Linked DNA regions of Drosophila melanogaster. The protein of the gene in region 3 interacts with the protein of the main gene of each other region in a pairwise test. Each region holds a gene or a part of one and is shown on either strand. Other genes may lie near its edges. The genes, in order: CG5246, Coa7 and Amacr.

Region 1 (3,475 bases), on a different chromosome or scaffold from region 3:
ATCTGGTTGAAAAAGTCCAGCTGAGTGGAGAACCCTTCATTCTAGGCAACCAACCACCACTCAGCACAAATAAGGTTGTTCTGATAACTACGATTCACTCTAAATTTACATAACAGGAACTTGAAACAAGGCGATAATTAAACTGTTTATTTAACTACATTAAAAGCCTATCCAATAAACAAATATATGTACTATCTAGGTCACAACTAAGTGACATTATCCCTCCACAAAATTTTTGGTGTTTTGACATATGAGAAAACATTAAAGAAATTCTTTAAAAATTTGAATCGACTTATAATCAAAGTAGTCTTTCAATCAGTTCTATTTAATTATCTTATAATTTGAGAACCTGCTGGAAAACTACTTAGGTATTGTTTATTTCCATAGTCAATCATACTCGAGTCTAATCTCTACATTAAGTAATGCCACAGGTGATAGTCAATACTTTCTGATATCCCACTTCTTTCTAACTGGCGCTTGTTTGTTTGTTGACTCAGTTCTCAGAACTGAATATAATGATGGATCATACGAATGACTGGGCTTTGGAGAAGTGCTAAAATTGAACACCCGCCTTAAAGAACATGACATACGAAAAAGTTTTTATTTAAACTGAAGCGCAATTGTTCATTTATTCGTTCATAAATATTTTATGATATCTTTGATATCTAAGTAATAAAATTTACAGTCTAATTTGATCAATTTGCAGAAGCCATTAGATGGCAGCTGCTATTTTTGTTCGGTTTTGGCTTTTGTACCCCCACGGGTGACTTTTGGACCTTTAGCACGCGGTACCAGCGTCTGTCATCATCTGTTCGATCCAATCGTGGTAGTAGGCGACCGAACCGAACACATCCGGATAGCCAATGGCACAGGCCTCGCCCCAGTTGACCACGCCGACGAGGGTTTGGTTGGCATCAACCAAAGGACCGCCGGAGTCTCCATGGCAAGATCCCTCGCCCTCCTGGGTGAAGGTGCACACGTGTCCTTCGCTCAGCCAGTTGGCGTTTCGCACTCGAGACTGGCAGTTGTCGTGATCGATGTAGTTCAGATCGATTTTCTGCAGCTGGGTGGAGTACCTTCCCCAGGTCTTGGTGCTGCCCCATCCCGTCAGCGTTAGCTTATCTCCCACCTTCGGCAGTGATCCCTTGCTGGCCAGTTTAATAGGTTGAGTCAGGTCGTCGTAAACAATGGGCTTAGCCGTGTGGATCAACGCTATGTCATTGTGATAGGCTGGCTTGTCGTGACTGCAATGGATCTTCGATCCATCTACCAGATACTCCGCTCCTGGTCTCGTATAGTCCACTGTGCCGGTGACAATCTTCAGATACTGAATGGGCCACTCCATGCAATGGGCGGCGGTGAGGATCCATTGTGGCGCGATGATACTGCCACCGCAAACATGCTCGCCAAAGGTATTCATGATGGACACCTGGTAGGGAGCAAATCCAGTGGGGGAATCGACACCTCCAATCACACGGGTCTCGGGCTTCACATGGCCCAAATGATGATTTAACTGGTGACGACGATGAATCTTAACGCTTTTCGCCGAACATTGAGACAGGATCACCAAAACACTGATCAGTACTAGACACTTCATTTTGGCTCAAATATCTTGAAATATTTGTTTCAATTAATTGTAATAATTGTAATTTGTAGTGTTGTGTTGTGTTCAACTTCCGTAAGCGGAATGCCCACTTTTTGGCACCAAAATCGCTTTTATAGCGCTGTGCAAAATTTCCTTATCTCTCGAAGAGTTTCTTTTAAATATTTTTTGCGATAAGCGTCTCAGTTCGGGGGAAGCTTCGATAATGACAATTTCCATAGCCCGTATATAGTAACCTGATAGGGGGAATTCTATAGCCATTTGGACTGAGAGTGATAGACAACTAGCACACGACCGTAATAATATTACTCATACGCAACGGGGGCGGACTTTGTGCTAACTCGAGTTGTGCTAGGCAGATCTTCAGACGTCGTCGGTTGATAGGGTCGTAATCGGATGGAAGTTTACTTGAAATTCACCTGGAATAATAGCGAAATGATTGAAGGCCCATTGAAGATACTGAAGTCGGCATACCCTTAGGGTAGGCAAGTTAAAGGAATAGATAGGACAATCTTCAACAAATATTAAAGGATTTATAAAAATAAATTAGATAACTTCGATATGGAAACCTACTTACTTATTACTTATTTTGTTTTTTATCAAACACTAAAAAAGTATATATTGTATAGACATAGTTCTGTGTGTCATGGTTTGGTAGTGTATTATATTGTTTCTGAAAAACCAGTTCATTTTTATGGCTTCAATGAAATTTTGACGTTTTACTTATCACCCGCAATTACAACAATTGGCAGACGTCTGGACGAGGGATTATCAAGATTTCAAGTTAATCAATTGTTTCACATACTGGATTTTGGACTTTGACATAATTTAGGAGACAATGTATCTTTTGGAACATCCGTAATAAACTAGGTAATATAAAAATGTTCGTCTGGCGATATTGAAAATGCGTACCACAATTTTTACAGTATTTTATTGAATAAAGTTATTTTTCCAGGATAAAAGTAATTGATACGAATTTTTGCACTTAGGAAATAGCACATCCGTTAATCGTTGATATAATCCAGCTGTAGTAAAAGCTAATGCGGGCAAAAACATCGGGAAATCCATAGCCGCACGGAACGCCCCAGTTACCAACGCCCACCAAGCGACCACGACTGTCAACGATGGGTCCTCCGGTATCTCCATGACATGCTCCGGCTCCCACCTTTCCCACGGCACAAAGGTGACCCACATCCAGATCTGGAGTACCGCCGTACGTGGCATTGCACTTTTCCGGCGCGACATAGGTTACATCCAACTGCTGCAGCTGCCATGAGAAATCTCCTCCGATCTCCGTGCTGCCGTATCCGTACATGGTTAGCGTTTCACCATCGGTCAAATCCTCCAACGGAGCGATTGTGATATTCTGAGTGACATCATCGTAATCGAATAGTGCATGCGTCTTGATCAGGGCAATGTCATTATGGTACATGGGGCTGTCGAAGTTGCAGTGCATGACGATATCCTCCACGGAGTATATCCAGCCCTCCGATCCCCAGTGATTATAGGTGGTGGTCACCACCTGCACGTTGTTCTTTCGCAATCCAGCCAGGCAACTAGCCGCGGTGATGACCCACTGATCGTGGATAATGGAGCCGGCACAAAAGTGGTTACTTAAAAGAGTTGCATAATTCACTATTTAGACTTCAAAATAAAATGTTACTTAAGACACTAAAAAAATATATTGCTTAAAAAAATAGTATAATTTCTGTGGTAATACGTTAGTAATTGTTACCAATAGGGAAACTAGGATAACATAAATAAGGATAAGTTAATTACCCATAGGCGTTTTGGAGCGAGACTAGATAGGGTGCCGCCAGGACATCGGATTCTTCTCCTCCGACGATTCGGGAGCTAAATTTATTCGCGGTT
Region 2 (5,257 bases), on a different chromosome or scaffold from region 3:
TTTTGAAATTGGATTTCAATTAATTTCATTAATAGGAGAAGCTGTTGCGATGATATGATCGTTACATAAAATTATGAAAAAATATATAAAAACTTTATGTATTGTCTTCTATTGCACCATATATTTAAAGTGCCGTAAACTGTAATCTTGGTGCGGTTTAAAATTAATCACCTATCGCCTTGCAGAGCCATTAGCACCTCAACTGATAACGATGATTCAGCCCGGCCCCCAAAAAGCCTCAAAACAAGATAAGTGCAAGTACAAGATTGTTTATTACTGGGCGCTCAGGAAGGGCAAGAAAATCGAATGAAATACATATTTATATTTATTAATAAACAAAAATGTGTGAGGATTTTAAAGATCCATAATAGGGAATAATAAAAATACGCGTATTTATATTTATATCTATCTATGTATAATATATACACAAGATCAACATCGGTTAAAGGTCTACTATTTTATAGTTATGATTACTATCACAATGGGAACGGCTAAATGCCGCAACAGGACCGCTGGCCCGCAGGATCTCCGGGATCCGGGGCCTCCGAGTCATCGGAGTTGTTAAGGTTATCCGTATCCGGATTCTGGAGGCGAAGTGGACTCGCATCCGGTTGCCGTTGGCTCAACTGCTCCAGCATCAGCTGGGTCAGGAGCTCGAAGAGCTCAGCCACCCCCTCGTTCTCCTTGGCCGAAGTTTCTACATATTGAGCGCCAACCGTGCGCGCATATTGAAGGGCCTCATCGTGCGTTACTGCTCGCTGTTCCTCCAAATCAGTCTTGTTGCCGACGATTATTAAGGCAATCTCCGTGCCGCGCATTTGCCGGAGCTCCCGCACCCAGGATTTGACCTTCTGGAACGAGTCTCGGTCCGTTATGTCATAGACGAGCAGGGCGCCATCGGAGCCGCGATAGTAGATGGGTCCCAGGGCGTGGAACCGCTCCTGACCAGCCGTGTCCCAAATATTCAACTGCGCCCTTCTCCCATCCTCCAGGGACATCTTGCGGCTGACAAAGGAAGCCTGCAGGGTGCTTAGGTGCTGGGCATTGAACCGGTCTTCCATGTAGCGCAGCACCAGCGACGTCTTGCCCACACAACCTACAATTAAGGGGTTAAAGCTTTCAGGAACTAATTAGGTTTGTTTAGCTGCTAAACGTACCTTCGCCCAGCAGCACCGCCTTGAAATTAAGCGTGGGGCCGTTCCTCGTTCTGCTCGAGCTCATTGTGGTTTCCCAATAGCTAGGTGTCCTACCTTGATACGCATCAGTTTTCAGAGGACACGGAAAAACAAAAAAAAAACAAGAGGTAATCGAAAAGATTAGGTTTTTACGAGACCGCCAGTGTGGCTGTCTACCAGCACTATTGTAATGGCACTCGGCGATAAATGTTGAATAAGCGAGAAGTCACATACGTATCTGGCCACACTGCGGCCTCAAGCAAGGCCGAGAACTCAATGTCGCCGCAGTCATACATGAAAGATAGAAAATACAATTAAGCGATTTTAAATTAAACCATGTTTTAATTATGAGCAAAATATCGATGCATAGCCTAACATCGATATCAATAAAACCATCGAATGTATGCAGTATGGTGTCGATGAATCGATATTTTGCACGTTACTAACACTGAAGCACGCAGGGGTCCGGACGAAGCATAACATAATAATTTTTGGTTGTTATCTATTAAAAATTGCTGACCATGGCCTATGACTTGAAGAAGGAGTCAGACGTGAAGGAGTACGTAGAAAAGCTGGGCGTGGAATATCGATTCGGGTGCTATTCCGAGAAGAAGCCGGAAGGTGAGTGCGGCGGCGGCAGCGATAGCGACGGCGGCAAAAACAATTGAGGTCTATAACCTCCGATGTGCGGGAGGACAATTCGCGGGGCTTGAAGACATTGCATTTATGAGATAGCTAACTGGCGTTCTGCATTGCAGCGTGCCACTTGCTGGGCGACTACTTGGAGGGCATCAAGAAAGACTTTGAAAAGGCCTCCAAGGTGTACAAGTCGACTTGCGACGACTATGGTTACGCAAAGTCCTGCTACAAATACGGCAACTACAGTTTCCTTGGAAAAGGCAAGAGCGGTAGCAAGGGGAATCCACAAGTGGCCTACGAGTACTACGAGAAGGGCTGTAACTTAAACGACTCGGACGCCTGTCTTCACTCCGGCCTGCTGCTCGTTTCAAAGTCCATGCCTAGGGAGATCGACTGGAATGTGCCCAAGGTAAAGGTGTCGTATGGCGATCACGGTCCCAAGCCTTCAATAAAAGGCTAGCTCTTGGAACTGTTCAATTTGCTTAAAGTGCAACTATGTGCTGCAGTACATTCTCTCATTTGCCCCACCTGTTTCTCATTTGATCCTTGAAATCATAAGTCATTCGTATCGTGTCCAGATAATTGAACGTTTAATTGTAATTTTCTGATTATGTTCCAATGGATGTATAGACATATGTATGAATATAGTTTAGTTTGATCCAATTTAAAACTGTTCAATATGACCCCAGCAGAAAAGTGTTTAAATTTTATTTGATTTTGTGATTTGACATTATAATTTTACAACACCCGCAGGGCCTGGAGTTTCTGACCAAAAGCTGCGACTTGAACAACGCCACTGCCTGCTTTTATCTCTCCGGGATGCACATCTCGGGCGTGCAAAAGAAGGCGGATCAGAGTGCTGTCACTGCATCCTCCGGAAGTGGTACATCATCACCCCCCGCCGGACAACCGCCTTTAAAGGACTCCGACTATATTGTTCTAAAAGACATGAAGAAGGCTTTCCAGTTTGCCCACAAGGCTTGCGAGCTTCGCAATATGTATGCGTGTGCCAATCTTAGCCAGATGTACGCCCGGGGCGATGGGATCGAGAAGAACGAAAAGGAAGCGGAGAAGTACAAGAAGCTGGCCCTAGAAATGCAGGACGAGGTGAAGAAGCAGCATGATACGTTAGGGTTCCAGCAGGGCGTGGGCATGCCTAATTGATAATGCTTGATTCCTGATATTATCTGCTGCTACTGTTTTTAGACCTTGCTTCAGGTCAGGTCAGGTTTTTCTTTACCTTCTAGCCCTTTTCAGTAATTTTCAGTCAGTCTAATTTTGGTAGTTAAGCTAACTAACTTGTGTTTGAGATTTCTGTGTACATAGCTGGCACTTGCATGCGAAAGAGCGAGAAAGAGAAAATAAGTAACAATGGAAATTCCTAGATTTAATTGTTAAAGTTATTAAGTGATGATGAACCCTTTAAAAATTTTGTTGATACCTTATATGAATATACAAACAAGTCTTACCAAAAAAGTAGACAAAAATCTTCAGTTAATTGTGTTTTAGTTACGGTTGCTTGTGCACAAACTGTTGTTCTAATATTAATGTAAGAACCAGTACATTTTTCTGATCAGAATCGCCTGCTAATCCGACAGCCTCATTTTTTTTTTAAATCTAGCACATTATAACGTAATTAATCGTCTTGTAATATCTGCATGTCCTTTCCTCGAATACCTTCTCATGAAGATGTGCACTACATTCGTTCTAAAGAATGTAAAAGGAAAAATAATGTGATTCTGCTTCGTCCACAAGTCTAAAAAACTATTGCGTTTCTACACATACAAGTCTTTCAGGCGTAAAGATGTCTTTATAAAACATTCCCAAAATATTTTAAATTTGCAGCTAGAATATAAGTCGGAATGGAATCATATATGTAGATATGTAGCTGAGAGAAATAGTCGAAACCTTCGGGGTTTTTGATCAAAAAGTTATTTTTGGTTTATACAGTATATTAAATTTCGGCTGGAACTGGATCGAAATTGCTATATCTGCTTTTGGCTGGACCTAAATGAAAATTGGTCTACTTATCATATACATAGCTGCCATGGTAATAGTCGCACGAGAAATCCGAATTTCAAATTATTAAGGTAACTTAAGTTAAAGTTTAAAACAAATGTTCTTCAAACAATTTATTAAAATATGTGTATAAAATATTCGATTTTCTTTTCAAATTTCATTGGGATACTATACCAAAACGGTTTGTAGCGTTCGGTTAATGTCAGAGGCCATAAACTATTTAAGCATAACAATAGCTATTTCCTTTTAGAACCATTACTGCTCAAAGTATGAGGTATTCTGGTATTACTACCAACCAATCAAACACCTTAAATGCCTTTTTTAAAATTTTTATGTTAAACAAAAACAGCTTCTAGCAAGGTGGTAAAAATTTATTTTTCCTGGTAGCCAAAAATTCTAAAACAATAAGTACAATAATACCCAATTATTTGTCTATTAAAGAAACATTGGTTAAATGTAATTGTCATGATTTGTTTTCGAGAAATGGGCAAGATTTTGTTAACGGAAAACAATAATATTTTAAGCATATTAAAAAAAATTGTAACAAAAGTATTGACACAGGCGTCCCCGCCAAAGGAATAGGCAACACTTCGCAAAAATGTGGCTGTGATGAACTTTATGGGACCTCACAGACTCAAACTGTGTGCAAGTACTAAAATATCCCTGGTACGAAGGCCTTTTAGTGCCATTATGATAGAACTTTACAAATTCTTACAAATATTATCAAATTGTAAAATATTCATACGAATCATTAAAAAATTAATATGATAATTGTGTAATCTTGTTGTAAGGAATTTAAGTATGCATGTAAATGGTTCTGAACGGACTGTATCTATATACAGTCTGTTTGTGCAACACTTTCTCTGTGTTCATTGTCAGCTTGACCTACTGTCATTTCAAGAAATAGACGCTTTATTAAAAACTCTCTTGTCCAATTAGTTGCTGTTTAGTTACAATAAATGATAATAGCTCCTTCCCGCTCTATCTCACAATATTCTTTCATATGTATGTATGTACATATTTGCATTCACATACAGCTGCGGTTAAAATAATAGCACTACTGCAGGTGGAAAGTTCATTTCCTAAAAAAAATTATTAAATGTTTATATTTTTTAAAGTAAGTTTGCATGAATAATAAGTACCATATGTTGGCTCTCTGAACAAGAAATTTTTAGTCTCTCAATGTAACGGTTCTTTTTGTTTTTGGGCACTTGCTGCTAAAGTGCGCGAAATGAGGCGGTAACAAAAATAGCACTGACCACGTATTTACTGAATAAAATTAATAGGAGTGATTGCTTTGGGTTTTTTTTCGACAAATTTTGAAAAAATGAGTTGTATTAAAGGTTTTTATTGATTTTTTTCCAAACGAAGTCCAAAAATTCTCTAGTTATGGGTCGCGGAAAGCATTGTACCGTCGAAAAAAG
Region 3 (3,725 bases):
CAAATAACAACACAACCTACTTACTTACCTAAGGACTCACAAGGATTACTTTACCCGGGACTCTACGTACATACGTACAGACACTAGAACAATACTACACACGAAACGCCAACGCCAACTAGTGAAATTTACACCTCACCCACACATTGCCTACTTACATAACACCACAACGTTCATATGAGCATTCTAATCGAATATGATTATCCTAAATATACACTGACGATTGGAGACGCTGACGCGCGGTGCTTAAGCCGGAAATAAACTTAGTATATGTGCTACTCGGTATGCTAGTTAATGCTAACCTAGTCATTAAGTAGGGATGCGCGAGAGAACCTTTGATCACGATTGCGATAGGAGAGAATCAATTATGTTACGTTATCTAGTATGCTGTATTACCAATTACAAAAAATGAAAACCCCTCTGAATATCAATGTGCGGCCTAACTGTTCCGAAACAAATTGTATGACTGATAGTTTGTACGCGAAATCTTAGCAAATGTAATCTGTGTCTGTGTGCAAGAGCGAGAATAAAAGAATTTTGAGTGCAAGAGCAACAAGAAATGTGTTTTATTCCGATGAAATCCAGGCGGGGGCACAGCACATCTTGGCGTCTTACAGCTTGGCCCTCTCTGGAAGGGAAAGTACTCCCGAGTCGAGCAAATCTTTAAACTCGTCGGGCTTAAGATCTAGTTCGTCCATCCACTCCACCTGCGCACCATCAGTTGCCTTGGGCAACTTTCCCGGAGTTCTGCTTAGGACTGGAGCAGGACGTGGCGTCGCTGTATCCTCAGTCACCTCGAACGAATTCCTCTGTATATTGTGATCGTGTCTGTGAACCTCGCGGTAATCCAGAACGGGATAGACACAGGCGTCGACATCCTCAAATATTTGCGACCATTCAGCTTGGGTCTTGGAGAGGAAAGCCTCAGTCAAAAGCTTTCTTCCTCGAACCTGATGCTCCTCGCCAAACTGACTGACATCTTCGGGCAGTTCCAAGCGCTGTTTTAGCATCTCAAAGAACTGCGGTTCCAGGGCGCCCACGGACATGTAGCGACCGTCTTTGGTTTCGTACGTGTCGTAAAAGAATGATCCACCATCGACGAGGTTGTCACCGCGCTCCCTCCCCCAAATAACCAGATTCCTGGACATAAACAGCCAACTGGCCACATAGGCAGCTCCCTCGACCATCGAGGCATCCACTACTTGGCCTTTTCCCGACCTGTGGCGCTCCAAGAGGGCAAGGCAAATTCCCAGAGCGCACATCAAACTGCCGCCAGCGAAATCGGCCAGAATATTAATGGGTGCAGTGACCTTTTCGTGGCGCCTGCCCAGCATGGAAAGTACTCCCGATAAGGCCGCGTAGTTGATGTCGTGTCCCGCCCGTTGCGCCAGTCTTCCATGCTGGCCAAAGCCGGTGAGGCGGGCATAAATCAGGCGGGGATTGGCTGTGCACAAGTCGGTGGGACCCAGATTTAGTTTCTCCATTACTCCCGGTCGAAAAGGTTCGATGAGCACATCGCACTTCTTGACCAGCCTTTGCACCGCTTGCTGACCTTTCGGGTTCTTCAGATCCAGGCAAAGTGTGCGCTTTCCCTGCTGCAGTACATCCAAAGGGTTTTCCATCACCTGAACGAGATGGGAACATGGATTCAAATTCGGCGATCGGAGTTGTATTGAATTTAACGCCCAGTTTGTTTACCTTGTCGATGCGGGTGACTGTGGCCCCAAAGTCGGTTAGAATCTTCCCACAAAACGGTCCTGGTGCTAAACCCACGAATTCGAGTACCCTGATGCCTTTAAGTGGCATCTTTGGAGGAGTTTTGATGCGAAAAGTAACAAGAAAATTAAGTGCACTTTGAACGGCATTGCAGCAGAGATGCCAACTTGTAGGTGATTTTTTCTAATCTCACGAGACAAGGAGTCGAATGAAATAACTTTAACCTGCACCTCCTGTCTCTGCATGTATTTTTTTTGTTTTTGATAAAAATTAATCTTGATAACAAGAAATGTACCAGTGAAAGTTTTATTTATTTTCGTGACTTAACTGTCGAGCTCGACAACCCGGTGCTCTCGGTGCTGCCAACTGGTGTGAAACTTTTAATTCGCAAAAGGGAAAAGCCGCAACAACATTCAATCCCAATTAACTACAACTAACAGTTGGCCACCGCTGCTGGACGAAACCAAATTGACCGGGAGTGAGACCAGGACGTGACCCAAAAACGATGCCACAGCAACGGCGCAAGGTGGCCTTTAGCGGCAAGAAGAAGAAGGACCAGATGTTGCAAAAGCGCAACACAAAAGGTGAGAAAACCGAGATTGTGTGCCCACCTGTGAAAAGGGGCGTAAGGCTGGAAAATCGAAGCGGATGACTAACAATTGTTACGCCGGCAGGTCCCCCAAAGTATCTGAGGAGCACGCAGGAGTCGTATGAGGACAGCGATGTGCCGGAAACGACCAGGAAACTCATGGAGCAGCCTTTTGCGCGCGGCGGAAACCGAAACAAGAACGTCAATCGCTATAATTTGCAATTCTACCAGGAGGGCAAAAAGGAACTGGAGCAAATGAAACAAGAGGGCTTTAAACCGTTCGAGAAACTCAGTCCCGCTCAGCGGGAAGTGGACGACCGATACTTTGCCGGCTGCGACTTCCCAGTTCGTCCACCTTGGACGCTAACGGAGTCCAAGGAAGAGCTTGATCGCACCGAGAATCGCTACTTTAAGGTAGGTCAGTCTACTGGCGGCTTGGTTTATAATATTAACATATCCATTAATAATCTTTTGTCAGGAATACGTGGACGAGCTGCAGAAAAAGCAGCGTGCTGGAGATTCGAAGGAGCTTTCGCTGTTTGAGCTGAATCTGGAAACCTGGCGTCAGCTATGGCGTGTCCTGGAGTTCTCGGACATCCTGCTGATCATTGTGGACGTGCGCTATGCCACGCTGATGTTTCCACCCTCCCTGTACGACTATATTATCAACACGCTAAAGAAACATGCGATAGTGGTGTTCAACAAGGTGGATCTAGTCGAACCGCATGCGGTGGTGGCTTGGAGGCAATACTTCCGCGACCGTTACCCCCAGCTACCAGTGGTGCTCTTTGCATCCTTCCTCCCCCGATCCCGCAAAGGAAGTCAACGTGGTCCACAGGCTCATCGCAGGAGTATGGAAGGAGTGTATAATATCTACAAGGAATGCCAGCGCTATGTCCAAGGAGAGGTGGATCTAACAACCTGGGAGCAGAAGATACGAGAGGACATGCGTAGTGATCAGCTTGACATCCTGGATGAAATATCAACGGCCGTGGAGGGTGAACTCAAGATCAGCAGCAGCATCGACACCACGCCCCACGAGCACGTTAAATATCACAGTGGGGTCCTGACCATTGGCTGCATTGGATTTCCCAATGTCGGAAAGTCGTCGCTGATCAATGCCTTAAAGGGACGCAAGGTGGTCAGCGTTAGTCGCACGCCCGGACATACGAAGCACTTTCAGACAATTTTCCTCACCCCACTTGTTCGCCTCTGTGATTGTCCCGGTCTAGTCTTTCCCTCGAGTACTCCCAAAAGCCTGCAAGTGCTGCTGGGCAGTTTCCCCATATCGCAACTGGCTGTTCCATACCGCTCCCTGAAGTTTCTCGGCGAACATCTGAATCTACCACAGCTTCTGCGTCTCCACCTGCCCGAGGATTACGATGAGTGGTCTGCGGTGGCCATCTCCGATGCTTGGGCA

What was found.
Region 1: the proteins of Amacr (region 3) and CG5246 interact in a two-hybrid assay, tested with the Drosophila melanogaster proteins (one large-scale study listed by BioGRID).
Region 2: the proteins of Amacr (region 3) and Coa7 interact in a two-hybrid assay, tested with the Drosophila melanogaster proteins (one large-scale study listed by BioGRID).

The regions. Positions count from the first base shown.
Region 1 is NT_033777.3:17,134,327-17,137,801, reverse strand, and holds CG5246 (uncharacterized protein), read right to left. Parts: upstream 1,692-3,475; 5' UTR 1,598-1,691; coding exon 779-1,597; 3' UTR 607-778; downstream 1-606. Other genes in the region: CG31267 (uncharacterized protein), read right to left, coding at 2,589-3,216, 3,383-3,475.
Region 2 is NC_004354.4:23,011,886-23,017,142, forward strand, and holds Coa7 (cytochrome c oxidase assembly factor 7), read left to right. Parts: upstream 1-1,609; 5' UTR 1,610-1,696; coding exon 1,697-1,796; intron 1,797-1,933; coding exon 1,934-2,223; coding exon of another isoform or gene 2,224-2,274; exon of another isoform or gene 2,275-2,381; intron 2,382-2,567; coding exon 2,568-2,978; 3' UTR 2,979-4,701; downstream 4,702-5,257. Other genes in the region: Rab21, read right to left, coding at 492-1,096, 1,158-1,221. UniProt on the Drosophila melanogaster protein: Required for locomotion. Probably involved in the regulation of formation/maintenance of motor neurons at presynaptic terminals at the neuromuscular junction.
Region 3 is NT_033779.5:20,750,391-20,754,115, forward strand, and holds Amacr (Alpha-methylacyl-CoA racemase), read right to left. Parts: upstream 1,952-3,725; 5' UTR 1,807-1,951; coding exon 1,699-1,806; intron 1,626-1,698; coding exon 612-1,625; 3' UTR 544-611; downstream 1-543. Other genes in the region: Ns4 (nucleostemin 4), read left to right, coding at 2,222-2,300, 2,391-2,719, 2,784-3,725.